Linked DNA regions of Caenorhabditis elegans. The protein of the gene in region 2 interacts with the protein of the main gene of each other region in a pairwise test. Each region holds a gene or a part of one and is shown on either strand. Other genes may lie near its edges.

Evidence for each region.
Region 1: the proteins of cdc-37 (region 2) and C15A11.7 interact in a two-hybrid assay, tested with the Caenorhabditis elegans proteins (one large-scale study listed by BioGRID).
Region 3: the proteins of cdc-37 (region 2) and T07D10.3 interact in a two-hybrid assay, tested with the Caenorhabditis elegans proteins (one large-scale study listed by BioGRID).

Annotation. Positions count from the first base shown.
Region 1 is NC_003279.8:7,403,383-7,409,056, reverse strand, and holds C15A11.7 (sulfite exporter TauE/SafE family protein), read right to left. Parts: upstream 4,108-5,674; 5' UTR 4,018-4,107; coding exon 3,951-4,017; intron 3,904-3,950; coding exon 3,776-3,903; intron 3,713-3,775; coding exon 3,505-3,712; intron 3,226-3,504; coding exon 3,113-3,225; intron 3,070-3,112; coding exon 2,781-3,069; intron 2,733-2,780; coding exon 2,625-2,732; intron 1,257-2,624; coding exon 1,125-1,256; intron 1,076-1,124; coding exon 930-1,075; 3' UTR 546-929; downstream 1-545. Other genes in the region: col-62 (Nematode cuticle collagen N-terminal domain-containing protein), read left to right, coding at 4,705-4,845, 4,907-5,674.
Region 2 is NC_003280.10:577,575-582,397, forward strand, and holds cdc-37 (Hsp90 chaperone protein kinase-targeting subunit), read right to left. Parts: upstream 3,020-4,823; coding exon 2,928-3,019; intron 2,319-2,927; coding exon 1,931-2,318; intron 1,885-1,930; coding exon 1,276-1,884; intron 1,141-1,275; exon of another isoform or gene 1,087-1,140; intron 636-1,086; coding exon 513-635; downstream 1-512. Other genes in the region: W08F4.7 (CW domain-containing protein), read right to left, coding at 56-158; W08F4.3 (Sigma non-opioid intracellular receptor 1), read left to right, coding at 3,047-3,182, 3,244-3,365, 3,418-3,667, 4,084-4,262; fbxb-14 (F-box associated domain-containing protein), read right to left, coding at 4,537-4,823.
Region 3 is NC_003279.8:12,626,129-12,630,966, forward strand, and holds T07D10.3 (C2H2-type domain-containing protein), read right to left. Parts: upstream 2,955-4,838; 5' UTR 2,870-2,954; coding exon 2,747-2,869; intron 2,337-2,746; coding exon 2,202-2,336; intron 2,043-2,201; coding exon 1,839-2,042; intron 1,778-1,838; coding exon 1,619-1,777; intron 1,355-1,618; coding exon 1,268-1,354; intron 1,220-1,267; coding exon 1,121-1,219; intron 1,081-1,120; coding exon 928-1,080; intron 788-927; coding exon 614-787; 3' UTR 546-613; downstream 1-545.

The DNA of each region.
Region 1 (5,674 bases), on a different chromosome or scaffold from region 2:
GAATTTTGAACACCGAGCAAATCGGGGTTATAGATGACGGGGGAAACAAATAGGATTAACCCAGGCGGTATGTGTCAAAACTGTATCCAAATTTTGCAAGCTCAAATCAAGGTTCAAATCAAACTATTTTGATGGTTTTTCGGTACTCATATTGCAAAATATGTTTGCAAAACCCCCACGATCGGGAACCTCGATTTATTAGAATTTACGGAATTTTGCTGTAAAAAGTTTGCCGCCCTATGCATTGAGTAAAAAGTTACTGATCAATTAAAAATCTACTCTTTTTTGGTTCATTGTTTCCAATGAAAATAACGATTAGAACAAACAACTTTTCATGAAAGGACGGCATATGTCGGAATCATTAATTTTTTAAGATTCAAGTTGACTTTTATACGTTTTCTACCAGTCAACTAGGTCTAAAAGAGCAAAAAAGTGTTGTATTTAAAAAGCAGGAAACAAGAAACAAACGTTTCTTTTGTCTTTTGCGTCCATTTTTCTCGATTTTTTGCTGTGTCCCAACCCGAAGTCAAGCAGTAAAGAACGTCAAAAAAATCATCTGGGGAATTGTGAAAAATCAGCAAATAAATGGAACAAAAACGAGGTCATTCGGACTTTTTTTTTGGACGTTTTTGTGCTACGAGTGTCATAGAAAACGGAAATGTGGATTCATGTAAAGATATTCGGAAAATGGTGACAAATGATGGATGGTGACAAAACAAAAGAGAAAAGGGGAGGTGGAGCTGGACATTTGTATAGCAGCAGTAGTGAAGAAATTTAATTATGATTCCCAGATTCGAAGTCAGTATTTAAATGATTACATTCACAAGTCGTTTACGCAATATCCATTCCTACTCAAACGGTTCGCTTTGAACTTTATTGATTTTTTTCAACATTGAATACAAAACAAATCTTATTAATTGTTCATATTGTCATGTAAATCGAACTTCCATCTCTGTTTCGATTTCCGTCTTCTCCTCATCATCTTCCACTTGATTCGAATCAATGTATCTCATTAGAACTTCTCCAGTTTTTGCCATTACTGAGAAAAAGACAAATCCACAGCCAATTATGACAACTAAAGTATTGTAAATAGTGGCATGGTTATAACTTTCGGATACGAATACCTGACATGATGATAAGAAACCATGTTGGTTTGGTCAATAAGAATCCAACAAGCGAAGCTGCTTCAAGAATGTAAATCAAAGCTGCAATTACTTGACGATGAAGATGAGATCCCAGAAATGAGCCAATGGGAGCTGAAAATTAATAATAATGTGAAAACTATTAGCCTCGAAACAATTTAAAGTTTAAATGAACATCTGCAGCCGAATGGAAGTTACTTCGCGTCTAGACTGGATATTTTACTTCGTTTAAGTCAGTTTTTGAGCAAATTATGAAAACTTTCAATTGATCGTGTAGTTATTTTCAGAAAGTACAAATATTTCTTTATCTTTCTATATAAACTTTCTGAAAAATAATCTCTAATTAATCTCTAAACTTTGAGATTCTTTTGGAATCTAAAAGCTGCACAAAACTTTCACGTTGAAAATGAAAATAAATGCATGCTTTTTTAAATCTATGTTAGACATTTTCAGAACATCCGGATCTCAAAATAATTATGATATTCGTGTTTAACGTGTTCTCAGCATTCTAAAAATATTTTTTTCGAACCAAAAATCGCAATTTCATTTTTTCGCCCATTTTTCGGAAGGCGAAGGTCCACTTTCGTTTTTCAGAGCGGAGGACGATTTTGGAGATGAGCCAACATTTTTGAAAAATTTTTTTGGAATCTGATAGAGGACTGAAAAGTATGACTATTTATCAAAATTTGAAGAGAAAATGTTAAAAATAAACGATGTTATGGGGAAAAATCAAAATTTTCAGAAAATAGTATGGAACTTTGCTGAAATTACTGATTTTTTTATTTATTCACGTGAAAAATATGAAAAACATTTATACAATACTGTCTATCTAACTTTGTTTTTATTGCTTTTGTCGTGTTTAGACAACAGATTTGTGAGGAACATTTTTTCGACACCTTTACAGAATCCCATTTTTCTTCATGTTGTGCCGAAGTTTTTTCTCTGCGATTTACATAGAAAAGTAGAAAATTATTTGTACTTTTAGAAATTAGTTTTGTTTTGAAATGAACGTTTTGGGAAGTTGCTCAAAAACTGACTATGGTCAAAAAAAGGATTAAAGGATTAAAAAATTTTTAAGTGAGAAAATATGAATAAAAAATTACTTTGAAAAGACCCGGATGAGGGAGTTTGCGTTAAAAAACGTTGACGTTAGATGCGTGAAACTTGGGCAAACCCCGGGTAAGAGGTAGCTAAGAAACGTCGAGCAAAGTCTATATTGAATATTTCACTGCATTTTTCAACATATATCTACAGAGAAAAATGGAAGATTACTTTAGAAAAATGTCTGTTATATCTGAAGTCTGCTGATTGTTTTTTAGGGTTTGCGATATAAAAAGTGACCAGCAAGTTTCAGCTGGTTACAACTATAAACTTCAAGATATGTTAGGTTTGTTCTATCAGTACCGAGTAGCCAGATTTCTACGCAGATTTTACAGAATTCAATAAGATGTTTGAAGTTTTTCGAACAATTTCAAAACGAACCCATTGTCGCAACAACTGGTATTGTGCATGTAAAATATTTCCATGCAATTTCCGATATATCACCCATTTGAACAGCTCTGTAGTAAAACCCGAACATTGATACAACACCTGTCAAAATAAGATTCCATAATCAAATGAAGAATGATGGATGTGTACCTTTTAATATCATTGTTGTAGGTGTCGCTGTCTTCTCACTAACCCGGAACAAAAGGGTTAGCGTTGAAAACATACAAATATCAATTCCACTTCCAGCAAATGCATCAAAAATTCCTCCAACAACACCTGTTAGAAACAGAAGCAGACCTTTCCAGAAACAAAATTCAGGAATTTTAACAAATGTCGGTCGCTTTTTCTGAGCATTCAAAATTCCGAGAGCAAATGCAAATGATGTCCAAATAGAAACAAAGAGCATTTTCTTTTGAGCTCCGGTGAAGAGAGGATCAATCTGTAATTCGAAATCAGCAAGAGGTTCAAGATTCAAAAATTACGCAATGGACTCCGAAAATGAAACCTGGTATGGCTCCTGCGATGCCAAATATAACTGATCGTTCATCAAACTTTACTTTCATAAATATTACACAGACGAATGCAGCCATCATACCTGTAAATTGTAGAGGATTTATTGAATAACATTTCTAACTTACTATACATTTTCAAAGTAGTTAAATTATTTTTCTCTATTTCTATTTTTCTATTTTTCTATAAAAATTTTTTTTCACTTTTCTCCCAAAAAAGTTTTCAGACTTGTTATTATTGCTTGAGAAATTAAAAATAAATGTTAGACTACACTTCTTGACTATTTCAATTTTTTCTTCACCGTTTTGTAACTGCTCTTTATCAGAGCCAAACTTAAATATTCCAAAATTAAACAAGAACATACCAATTGACTGGATCATAAGTGCAAAATCTCTAGCAATCGACGGTGCTAAATGAAGAACTAAAGTCATAACGGGAAAAGCAACAGCTCCAGCTCCTTCAGCAGTCATTCCAGATATGAGTGCTCCAACAACCATTGTAACAGGCATATGCCAATATTCTGGGTAGTAATGGAAAAAGTCATGCTTGATGGCTGTCGCCCACCAAAATGTCTGGAAATTTTTTAAATACTTTAATGGCAACTGAGAGAAGAGAGAGGAAGAGAAAAAACTTACATGAATGAAAACAAACGGTATCAACACAGCGACAAACTTTCGATACTTGATAAGAATGTAATCAGCAAATGTTGGATTAACAGGAAAGTTTGTAATCTTTTCAGCATGTTTCTCGTCAAGTTGTTGACCTGAATAACTATAATTAAAACAAGTGAAACGAGAAAAAAAACCATACCTTCAAGAAGATACTTTTTACACCAAGACCCAACTCTTGTCGGTTCATCTTTCAATAGCTCCGTCATGTCTGAGCTCAATTTTCCTCATTTTTCTGATATAAATTGTCGAAAAGGTGTGCCAGACTGCTAACCAGTTTGACGAACAAAAAGGCGGGATGAGCAGTATAATACAGCTTCTGAATACAAAGTTCAGGGAGAGTACGGAAAGGGATGACGTCACGAGATCATTCTGAAGATAAGATGGTAAGATGGAGATTGTTTTTAAAAATCAAAAGTCGATCATCTATTCATAGATTGATAACACGGTCAGAATGATTTGATGTATTCGATTGGGTGATCTTTGACACAAATTTGAACATACCAATACTTGACAAAAGTGTACATACAGTTTTTTTTTCTAGTATTCGAAGTTGTGTCAATTAGATACAAGTTTGGAAAATTTTGTTGTTGCCGAAATTTTTGCAAAGCTTCCTTAATATGATACATTTTAAATTAAACTGAAAGAGAAGAAAATTGAATTGGCCAGTCAATCTTAAAAATGACTTGCGTCTCTTCGGGAACGTATAATATTTTTTAATGAACATCGCCACAAAGAAGTCAACAGATTACAGCAAACTTCTCTGGAACCCATTCTCTTCTTGTCCTTTTTTCGAAACTTTACACTGTGAACCTAATCTGAACAGTTCAAGTGATGGCTATTGCTTTAAAAGGAGTGACTGAAAATTGTTGGAACACAGTCATTCACCTGGTAGAATGTCTTCAGCAATGTTTCTTTCGGTTATGGCCGGTTTATCCGGAATTGTGGTATTTGGAGCATTGATCTCTGTCTTCCATATTTATTCCGACATTAATTCGTTTGTTGAAGACAGTCATCGCGAATTGGGAGAGTTCAAGGTTAGTTTTTTATTAAATTAAAGTTTGAAAAAAATACATTTTGCTTAATTGAATTTTGAAGGGCTTTGCCAATGATGCTTGGAACTCAATGATAAACCAGGATGATTCTGTCCGTATGGCTCGTAGCGTCTTTGGTCGTCGTCGTCAAAAGAAGCAATCTCAATGCAATTGTGGTCAACAAGCATCCAATTGTCCAGCTGGACCACCAGGACCACCAGGAGCATCAGGAGATAAGGGGCATGATGGACAACCAGGACAAGCTGGAAAACCAGGACAGCCTGGTGTTGCTGGGCCATCTCATCATCAGAAACAAGAATGCATCAAATGTCCACAAGGACTTCCAGGACCAGCTGGAGCTCCAGGACAACCTGGACCAAAGGGACCAAATGGAAATCCAGGAGCCCCAGCACAAGGTGGAGGTCAGGGACCACCAGGACCTCCAGGGCCAGCTGGAAGTGCTGGATCACCAGGACAGGCCGGAGCTCCAGGAAATCCTGGTAGCCCAGGAAAATCTGGACAACGTGGACGCGGTCTTCCAGGACCATCGGGTGCACCAGGATCACAAGGACCACCAGGAGCCCCAGGTCAACCAGGAAGCGGGAATGCTCCAGGACCAGCTGGACCACCAGGGCCAGCAGGACCAAATGGACAACCAGGACATCCAGGACAAGATGGACAGCCAGGAGCACCAGGAAATGATGGAACACCAGGATCCGATGCTGCTTATTGTCCTTGCCCAACTCGTAGTTCTGTTCTTCGTCATCGTAATGTCAACCGTCATCGTGCAGCTGCTTCAAAGAAGCGTGTTGTTGCCAAGAAGCGTGTTGCA
Region 2 (4,823 bases):
GTCTGCTAAATCAAAATTTGAAGTTTGTAGGCTAGCAGACCCATCCTAGACTCACTTCCATACAAGCTCAATTGTGCCAAGGAAAATGGGACAAAAACTAGTAGAATAAGCCGCGAATTTACCATTTTCAGCCAAAAAATGACCGATAATACATCCATTATTGAACTTTATAGTTGTCAGGCGGAGACTAACGTTTGCTTACAAAACATCACTTTCAAAAAATCGTGAGAAAAAAAAACGAATAAACACAATAAGAAGAAAGTTGATGATGATAATCTTTATGCTATTCCGAATTGGAATTTTTGAATACGAAGTGGAACGATTCTCGAAGCAAAAAAAAACTTTTTTACAGGTGTTCGAGAGGGAAAATAAACAGTAAATGTCGTGGGGGGTGTAGAATAAATAAAGAAATAATTGGGCCATTTTCAGTGAATCTTGGGGAAAAAGTAAAGTGCGGTGCAGAAAAAACAAGTAGATCAGGGGAACTTTCAAACGGGGAATAATGGGGAAATTTAGGAGCTGGTTGTTGGCTCTTCCTCGGCTGGAGCAGCTTCCTCATCGTCGTCGTCGTCGTCAGCTTTTCCGGGCACCCAGAGTCCAGAGGCGATGCATCGATCGAAATGGTACTTGAAGACCTGAAAATTTGGATTTTTGGATGTTGAAATTAGATGAATTTGGCTAAAAATAATAGCCTACAAACTACTAATTTCGATTTAGCAGACCATAGGTGGTTTTGAAGAAATTTGGTCTGCTAGACTACAAACTACAAAACTCGATTTAGCAGACCAAAATTAAAAAATGCCTGTTTTCAGCTTAAAATTTTGATTTTTGATTCGTTTTTTTTTGGAATACAATGTTAATTCACTCAAAAATTTGAAAATAGATCAATTTTCCCCCGAAAGTTCAGATTTTTTCAGGATTTTATATTAAAATACGCACTTTTGTCTTAAAACACAAAAATCGCACAATTTTCCACTAAAAATCGCAAAAAACCTGAATTTTTGCTAATTTCTATTTGAAAAATATTCATTTTTCCGCTGAAAAATTGAAAATTTATCAATTTTTGCAATTTTCATTGCGAAAATTGAAAACTTTGGGTCTGCTAGTCTACAAACTACACATTTCGATTTAGCAGACCAATGCCATTTTGAAGAACCTTGGTCTGCTAGACTACAAACTACAAATTCCGATTTAGCAGACCAATGCCATTTGGAAGAAACTTGGTCTGCTAGACTACAAACTACAAATTTCAATTTAGCAGACCCAAATATTCACCTCTTCATCCATTTTCTGGGCGACACCCTTCAACGCCTCGATATCATGTGCCTCAAAGCACTTTCTCATCTCCTCCGGCAGCTGCTCGAACACTTCCTGTGGATCGATTCCTCCCGGAGCACTCTTCATTCGTTCGGCTTTCTCCTCGGCTTCAGCCTCCTCCATCGCGGCGTCTCTCTTCGTCTGCGCACGTGTTCTGAGACGATCCTCGAACGCCTTCACCTCATCCTGATAGTGCTTCATGTAGACCGGCTCGGCGGCTTCGAACTTCTTGAAGAATTGCTTCTGGACGGTGGTATTCGTGGCGACTGCGTTCAGCGATTTCGAGAGCTCCAGAAGATATTGAATGATGATGCATTGCTCAGCCATCGTCTTCATTTTCTCCTCATTAAAATCGATGGCGGCGTTGAGAGCCTCAATTGTGAGCCAATTTGCAGTGTACTCCGACGCCATATGCGGATGCTCGGCCAGGAACAGCTCCGTCGACTTGGCTCCGTTCTTGAGCACGGCCATCTTCTCCAGAAGGCTCTCGTGAGTCTCGAAGAAAGTGCTCATCGCATGAGTGTCCTCCTCATCGGTTTTGGGAGCTTGCGGCTTCTTCTCGGTGATCTGAAATTACAGAATTAATCAATTTGCACAGAAAAATCTTCAAAACCTTATTGATCCTCGACGTGCTGAACGCCTCATGACCGATCGTGTCGACGTTCCATGGCTCCAGACGCTCTTTCTCCTCGAGTTCGGCCTCCTTCTTGCGCCAGGCTTCTTCTTGCGCCTTCACCTCGTCGATTTGCTTCTGAATATCCGACTTGTCAGTGACATCGGCTGCGGCAAGCTTCTTCTCGAGCTCCTCCATCTTCTTGCTCGTCGTGCCCTTTTCCTTATCGATTTTCTCCTGTTCCATCTTCTTCTCGGCCATTCGCTCCAAACGAGCTTGATGGCGCCATCTGAAGAGCGACGGAGTGTCAATGTTCGGGTGAGTGTCGTCCTCGTCGTCGGAAACCTCGATATCCTTCCATTTGGAGTAGTCGATTGGCATTTTTGAGCTGAAAATCGAGAAAATTGAGTGGAAAATAAGGAATTAGCAGGAAAAGCGAGAGAAAACTGATAATCGCTGGAAAATTCCGACTCGGTTGCCACGACAACGAGGATAATCCGCGTGAAATTACGAAAACAGAAATTTCATGAAGAAAACGTGGCATTATAATGATGTTTCAAAGGATTTACGTGGAATTAACTATTTGCTGAGCAATTTTCGAGAAATTTCTTCAAAATTTCTCAAATAGAAATACTACGTTTTCTAGCGGATTTCGGCCTTTTTTTTGGCCCAAAACTCCGACAAATTGATTTTTAAAAGCCTGTAGAATTAAATTTAGACTTCTAAAAGTGGAAAAAATCGAAGGAAACCCCGAAAATAACATGAGAAAGGCGAAAAATGACTTTTGTTTTTCTTCTCGGTCCTTCTGTGGCAATGCGCGTCAGATATGGTGTTTTCTGTGTGCTTCTGCGTCACGGTGTTTGCACACAATTCCTTTTTCGCTGATTTTTTTAATTTTCAGCGCGCTGCAGCGCCATTTCTTGCATTTTTCAAGCATTTCCATTGATTTTTCCGCGAAAAAACATCTGAAATTTCAAAAAATCAATGTTAAACTCACAATTTTTCTTCTTCGCACTCGCTGTCCCTCTTGAAAACTCGCGAAATGACTGTATTTCCTTTTTTTTTCACGCAAAATTTCCAAATTTCCATGTTTTCAGGGTAGTTCAACACGTGAAAATGGCTCTTCTCACCTCAAAGCTTCGGTATCTTCTGCTCTTCTACGCAGTCTTCCAGGCTGCTCAATTTGGCCTCCGCTGGAAGTCTTATGACATCTCGCCGAAGCAGTTCAAGACTATCGCTGGAAAGGCTGCTGGTGAGGAAAAACATATTTTTCTGCGAAAATACCGCAATTTTAATATATTGTATATTTTCAGCTGCTCCAACAATCTCCCAGTCAATTTCCACATTGACGTCTGGAATGCGCACTTATTACGAGCCAATCATGCCAAGTCACTTCGAATGGCACGCTATTCAGTTGGGAGGCCTCACTTTAAGGGTGAGGAACAGGAAAAATCGAAAAAAAATCTTAAATTTAATGAATTTTCCAGATGTACCCAATGCTGACCGCTTTCACCGAGTTCGCCGCCGCCTTCTCCGCTCCGTTCCCAACTTCAGGACGCCCGGGGCTCCATTGGGCAAATACGACGTGCACCGTGTTGAAAGGAAAAGTCAGCCGATTCAATGACGGAACTCAGGACGAGACGTCGGAGAACTTTGCTTCGGGAGCCGCTTTCAGGCACGGACAGTTCGAGTCCCACGTGTACAGCTTCGAGAAGGACACCTACGTCGCGTGCTACGGTAAATTACACCGAAAATCAAGGAAAATTCGTTTTTTTTTGAGTCTGGCAGACCAATTTCGAATTAAAATCACCTGGGTCTGCTAAATATAATTTTGTAGTTTGTAGTCTAGCAGACCAATTTCGAAATCAAATCACTTGGTCTGCTAAATATAATTTTGTAGTTTGTAGTCTAGCAGACCAATTTCGAACTGAAATCGCATGGTCTGCTAAATACAGTTTTGTAGTTTGTAGTCTAGCAGACCAATTTCGAATTGAAATCACTTGGGTCTGCTAAATATAATTTTGTAGTTTGTAGTCTAGCAGACCAATTTCGAACTGAAATCGCTTGGTCTGCTAAATATAATTTTGTAGTTTGTAGTCAACCAGACCCATATAAAAATCCCCTCGTTTCTAATGAATTTTTATATTTTTCAGGTCGCGGCTTCCTCCCACTCTCCTCCACCGTCCACGTCACCTCTGGAATCTCACTCGGCGAGCCACTCTCGGTCATTCAATTCTACATGAAGCAGGCCTACAACTACTGGAACAACCTGAGCCACACCCTCTATCGTGTCTTCCAGCACTACAAGGCCCGCGCCACTGGAGAACTTTAAATAATTTATGTGATTCCCCATCCGGTGCATTTCTACAAGCATTCTAACCCGAAATTTTCATTTATTCAGTCATGTTTTATCCCAATGTCCCCCCTCTACTTCCATTTTTACGGTTGTGTAATTCGATTTCTTGAGCCATTTTATTGCATAATTTAAAATACAAGAACATATTTATTTCATCACCTCAACCATTTAACCATATAGCTCAACCGAAAAAAATAATTGCACAGGTATTTGAAGGCATTTGCAGTGAAAGATGATCAAAAGTCGCTGCTTACTCATCGTCGGCCAGCCGGACGAATCGAACAGTAGTTCTGGTGAGGGAAACCTTTGCCTTGATCCCTCTTTTGCACACAATTTGGACGTGTTGAACCATTCCATCATCCACGACCAGAGGATCTTCGTATCTAGTAAAGTCTATTCCGCGGAGAATAGTTCCATGTACAGGATGCTCAATATTCAGACCATCTACAACAAGATCACTGATTCTCAGCTGTGAGTTCTGAATCCAGATCTTCAAGAACAAGTTGACATCCTTTGCAGTCATTGAGTGGTGCAATG
Region 3 (4,838 bases), on a different chromosome or scaffold from region 2:
CACTAAACACGCCAGTGTGGTCCATAGAAATGTGGTCTACGAGAATGGCGGGAGTTCAGATGCGGCGGACTTTTCAACTAATTTCGCATGTTTGAGAGTACACACAACTAAATCTGATTAAATCTGATGATCACATTTTTGTAGTTCCGCCGGGTCTTCTTATAATATACAGGTAATTTTGCTAAGAATCTTAGTTCTATGTACCCCTCCAGCCATTCGTAACGTCGATCTAGTATTAATGGGGCATATCGTGCAGTGACTCGGTTCTGGTAACATGACCGGCTCTGATTGTCACGCGATCAGGAGCCTAGAAGTTTAATGCAAGTTTCAGGTAATTTAACTAGATGTTCCGGCCACACCGCCGGATTCAAGTGTCACGCGATCTGAAAGTTCCTTATAGGTTTTTTGTGCAAAAAGTTAAGCAGAAGCTTGTCACGCAAGTTGGGTTTTTGGCAGTTTTTCTGGAAAATTTAAAATGTGAACTTTTACTTGGCCGGAGTAAAATTAGGATAACTGGATTGAATATGGTTCAAGCCCTAAAAGTGTATAGTTATGGTCTTTATGTAGTTGAAAAGGTATAAATATCATTAAAACAAGCAAGTTTATCAACTTCCTACATAATCTTCCAAAAGTAGTCCACTACTTCCAATAAGAGCTTGGCCATCTGTCGTGGCGTAAACGAGGAATGTTTCAGTGGGCTTGTTCGCTGATAATTTGTGAATTTCTCGTTGATAAGACGTTGATTCACATCAATGATCACCACAATTATGGATCGGTAGATATTGCACTGAAATTTTGAATATTTAGGAAAAAAAAACAAAAAAATTGCTTCAGTGGGGACTAGAACCCTTTTTATTTTTTTAACCAAAAATGGTACTTTAATAAAATTTTAATAATTTTTAGACCATTTTCTACCCAAATACCCACCACATCTTCGGGCATATTATTGAACGGAGCCTCTCGCTCCACATGCTCCATGGCTTCACGTAAAACTGGCAGGTTTCGTAAAAGCACGTCACGTTGGTAATAGCAATACTTGAATTGGTGACCACATTTGCAAGCAATCACTTGTACAAAAAACTGAAGGAAAAAAATTGGAAAAAATTGGAAAAAAACCAACCTTTCTATCAAAAAATTCACAATTCTGGCTTGCCACGTGGCTCTGAAACCCCTTGTTGTCCCGAAATCGGCGTTGACATGTGGTACACACATATAAGCCCTGAAATTTAACAAAAATAAAGGAAAAACTCTGAAAAAAGAGCCCAACATATGCTCGTTCCTCCTGCTTCTCCTGGTAGCGCAAAAAGTACTTGTAGTTGAGAAGTAGGTGCCTGGAGTCTAGGAATAGGTGTTTCTGAAAACTTGATTTTTAAAAATAAAATAAATTGAATTTTTTGGAGTATTTTGAGTCAAAAAAAAACTAGAAAAAAGCTTACAAATTAGATGAGTTATGGAAGTTTGAAACTTTTCAAACAAGAATTCTGAGAAAATTTTGGGTCTCACGAAAACTTATTTCCTAACAAGTTTCTTCAGAAAATTTTCAGGCTAAAAAGCTTTAAATTTTTCAGATTCCCAGCTTTTCCAAATTTTAAAATACAAATTCCCAATGAAAACTCACATAATGCTGCTCAAAAAAGTGTCGGATACACTTCTCATTAGTTTCAAAAATGTACTTGCACACCGGATCCGGGCACATATGATCCCGGCCGTGTAAATGTGCCACGTACTCGTTACGTGACGACCAAGTACGATTGCAACAGTTGCAGATGTAAACTGGCTGAAATTTGGAGCAAAAATTTTTTCCTTGATTTATTTTTTCTAAATAAAAATTTCCCAACCTTCAAAAAATGTTTCTGCTGATCCCAAGCTTCTGTTTCAACAGATCCAGTTCCTTGTAAATGCTCCAAAGCAGTCTTATAGTCTGAAAACCGTACTCCACAGCAAAATAGTTGGCAGGATTGGTGCTCCAGGAGGTAATGGAATCTCGCATCAATGAGGTCCAAAAATAGTAGGCTACACGTGGAAAATGGACAGGGAATTACCTGAAAATCAAGAAAATTGCAAACAAATTTTCAAAATATCCAAGTGGCGCAGTGAGATTTTGGACAGCATATTAATCTCAACACCGTGGTTCGAATCCACCTAATGACATCACTAGTTTTACTAGATTTTATAAGTTTAACAAAAACATTTGAACGCACAAATTCAAAATCTGGTAGCTGAATCTGAAATTTTCCATCTAGAAATCCGTTATATGCATCCATATGGACAAATTGGTGCCATAGACGGGAGAGCTCCGAGCTGAGTATTTGGTGGCATTTCGGGCAAGTTTCACGCTGGAAAAAACGTTTTAAAAGTTAGGAGTTTGTCTACAATACCCCTAGAGTCATCCTACAGTACCGCTACAATTATCCTACAGTAACCCTACAGTAACCCTACAGTAATTTCACAGTACTCTCACTATCCCGCTGAGCATTTCTGCAGTAGCTTACCGTAACCCTACAAAACCCCTACACAAGAATCACAGACCTACTACGGTATTGCAACAGTACCTATACAGTATCCCTACAGTAGCCTTAAACTACCTCTACAGCATCCCTACATCTGGCTCACAGTATCCCAGAGTAGCCTTTAGTGTCTCTACATTATTCCTACACTACCATCACACTACCTCTACAGTACCCCTACAGTACCCCTACTATAACCCCAAAACACTTCTAGAGTACCTCTAAAGTACCCCTAGTACCTGTCTCAACGGCTCGACAACTACCGTATCCTCTGCCCTTATAACCACCAACTCGAAGCGCTTCTCCTCGAATTGTGTCATCTGCATTCGGTTGAACACCTCCTGTTCGGTGGCGTCATCCATTTTTGCGGGGGAAAATTTCGGTAGCTTTCGAGAAATGGTGAACTTATCTTGCAGTTTCATCTAATTGGAAAGTCACACTTTTCTTCGGAAAAAATATTATTGAAAGAAAATTAAGATTAAAAATTCCAGATAAGATGTTTGTTTCGCAGGAATTGGAATAGATTTTTCACAGAAAAAGTTGAGTTTCAGTACAGTTTAAACTCCTCCCTGTCGAGGTGCACTTTTTTCAAAAATAAAGTTTTGGAATGAATTAAACTGAAAATATTTATTCAACGAATGAAATACAAGGGTAGCATGATCTTTAAAAAGTTCTATGGTCTATAGATAACAGAAGTAAACTTTGCCGTGAAACCTGGGAAAGTGGTTCTCTCATCTGACGTGAACGTTACAAGCATGTTATTTCCAGTTGATGTATATGAAAACGGAGCTCTTATAGTACCACTGAGACGTCCCAAAACTGGACTGTTTATCGTTTCACCATCGTAGACGATCACCATATCATTGTTCAATTCAACGATGAAAAATTAAATTGTAGAAAAACCCTGTTTGGCCCCAATGTGGAAAGCTGATAAGTACATCTCTCATTGTTGAAGTAGTTTTCTGGATAATTCGGAGTGGTGATAACTGCATTATCCATTAGTCGCCCTGCGTTGCAGTTTGATGAGTTTGAAGAAATTGGTGTCACAGATGTTGGTGGTACAGTTGGGCACTGCACACCAGCCTCACGCTTGCACACGTACTTCCTATTGTCGATACAGTTGTCACTGTACCATAAGCCGGTCGGAGAACCGTTAAACACCGACATTTTCAAACAATAATCTATTCGAGGAGATGTTGGATCAATTTTACTGTAGTCCCACGCAGAACCATCTACCCAGTTGAGACTTGAGTTATGATTCCATATCGCTCCAATATAGTGAAAACCTTCTGGCGCAAAGGTGGTGATATATTGAGCTTCATTTGAAGAATGTATTGACACAAGGCTTCCACAGCTTTTTGCGCAAATTCCCTGTGCAGTAGTAAATGGTGCATCAGCCGTGCTGAATGTGTAGCAGTACCCGTTGTAGTTGTAAGTGCAGCTATCTGGAAGTTCTGGACATTCACAAGACACGTTATCATGATACCTGCAATCGTTGTTGGTAGTTCACAAATATAAGCTACACGCTGGCTTTCACAATCCTCGCTGAGCCATTTGCCAGTTAGTGCTCCCTGCGTAGAATAATAAACACATTGCCCAAGTTCGACAATTGGAAAACCTAAAACACTGAATAGTTGTTTTTTTTTCTCAAATCAAATAAATAAAACCAAACCACTGGAAAAGTTGTTGTATCTTTGTGCCGATTCAGATCCATCATCCCATAAACACTGCGAAGGATCACTTTCAAAACAAGATAATCCAATCCATATTAATGTAGAACTTCCAGATCCCGCAATAGTCGCAATTGCTTGATTATCCTGTAACCTCGACTTTGGAAAATCATAAAATTGTGGGCAAATTGTACTTACGCGATAATCTTTGACCTGAACAAGTGTTGCTCCAAAGCTACTACAAGATCTTTCAGCAGTTCTATGATTGACTGGAGTATTGAAAAGTTTCAAGCACTTGTTGTTAATTAGTGTGAACCCATTTGTGCAAATTGGGGATGAAGTAACACAATTTGCAAGATAAAGAGTCAAAATTAGCAGAGCGGAAATTGTTTGCATGGTGGGAAAAGGGGTATGATTCTTATCAAAAGTCATAAAGTAGTTTCGAGGCGGTCTTTGGAAGCCACTCGGTGCATATTGAATCATGATAAGAATTTTCAACTGGTGAACCATTAATAAACAAAATGATGTGAAAGGCTAAAAATCATGTTAATATAAAATTATCAGAATGGTTTGTTCAACTTCTAACTAATATACTGTTTTTTTTAATCAACTAAACGCCGATAGCACGGATTGTGAGAAGACGCTTACCGAGTTATTGAAT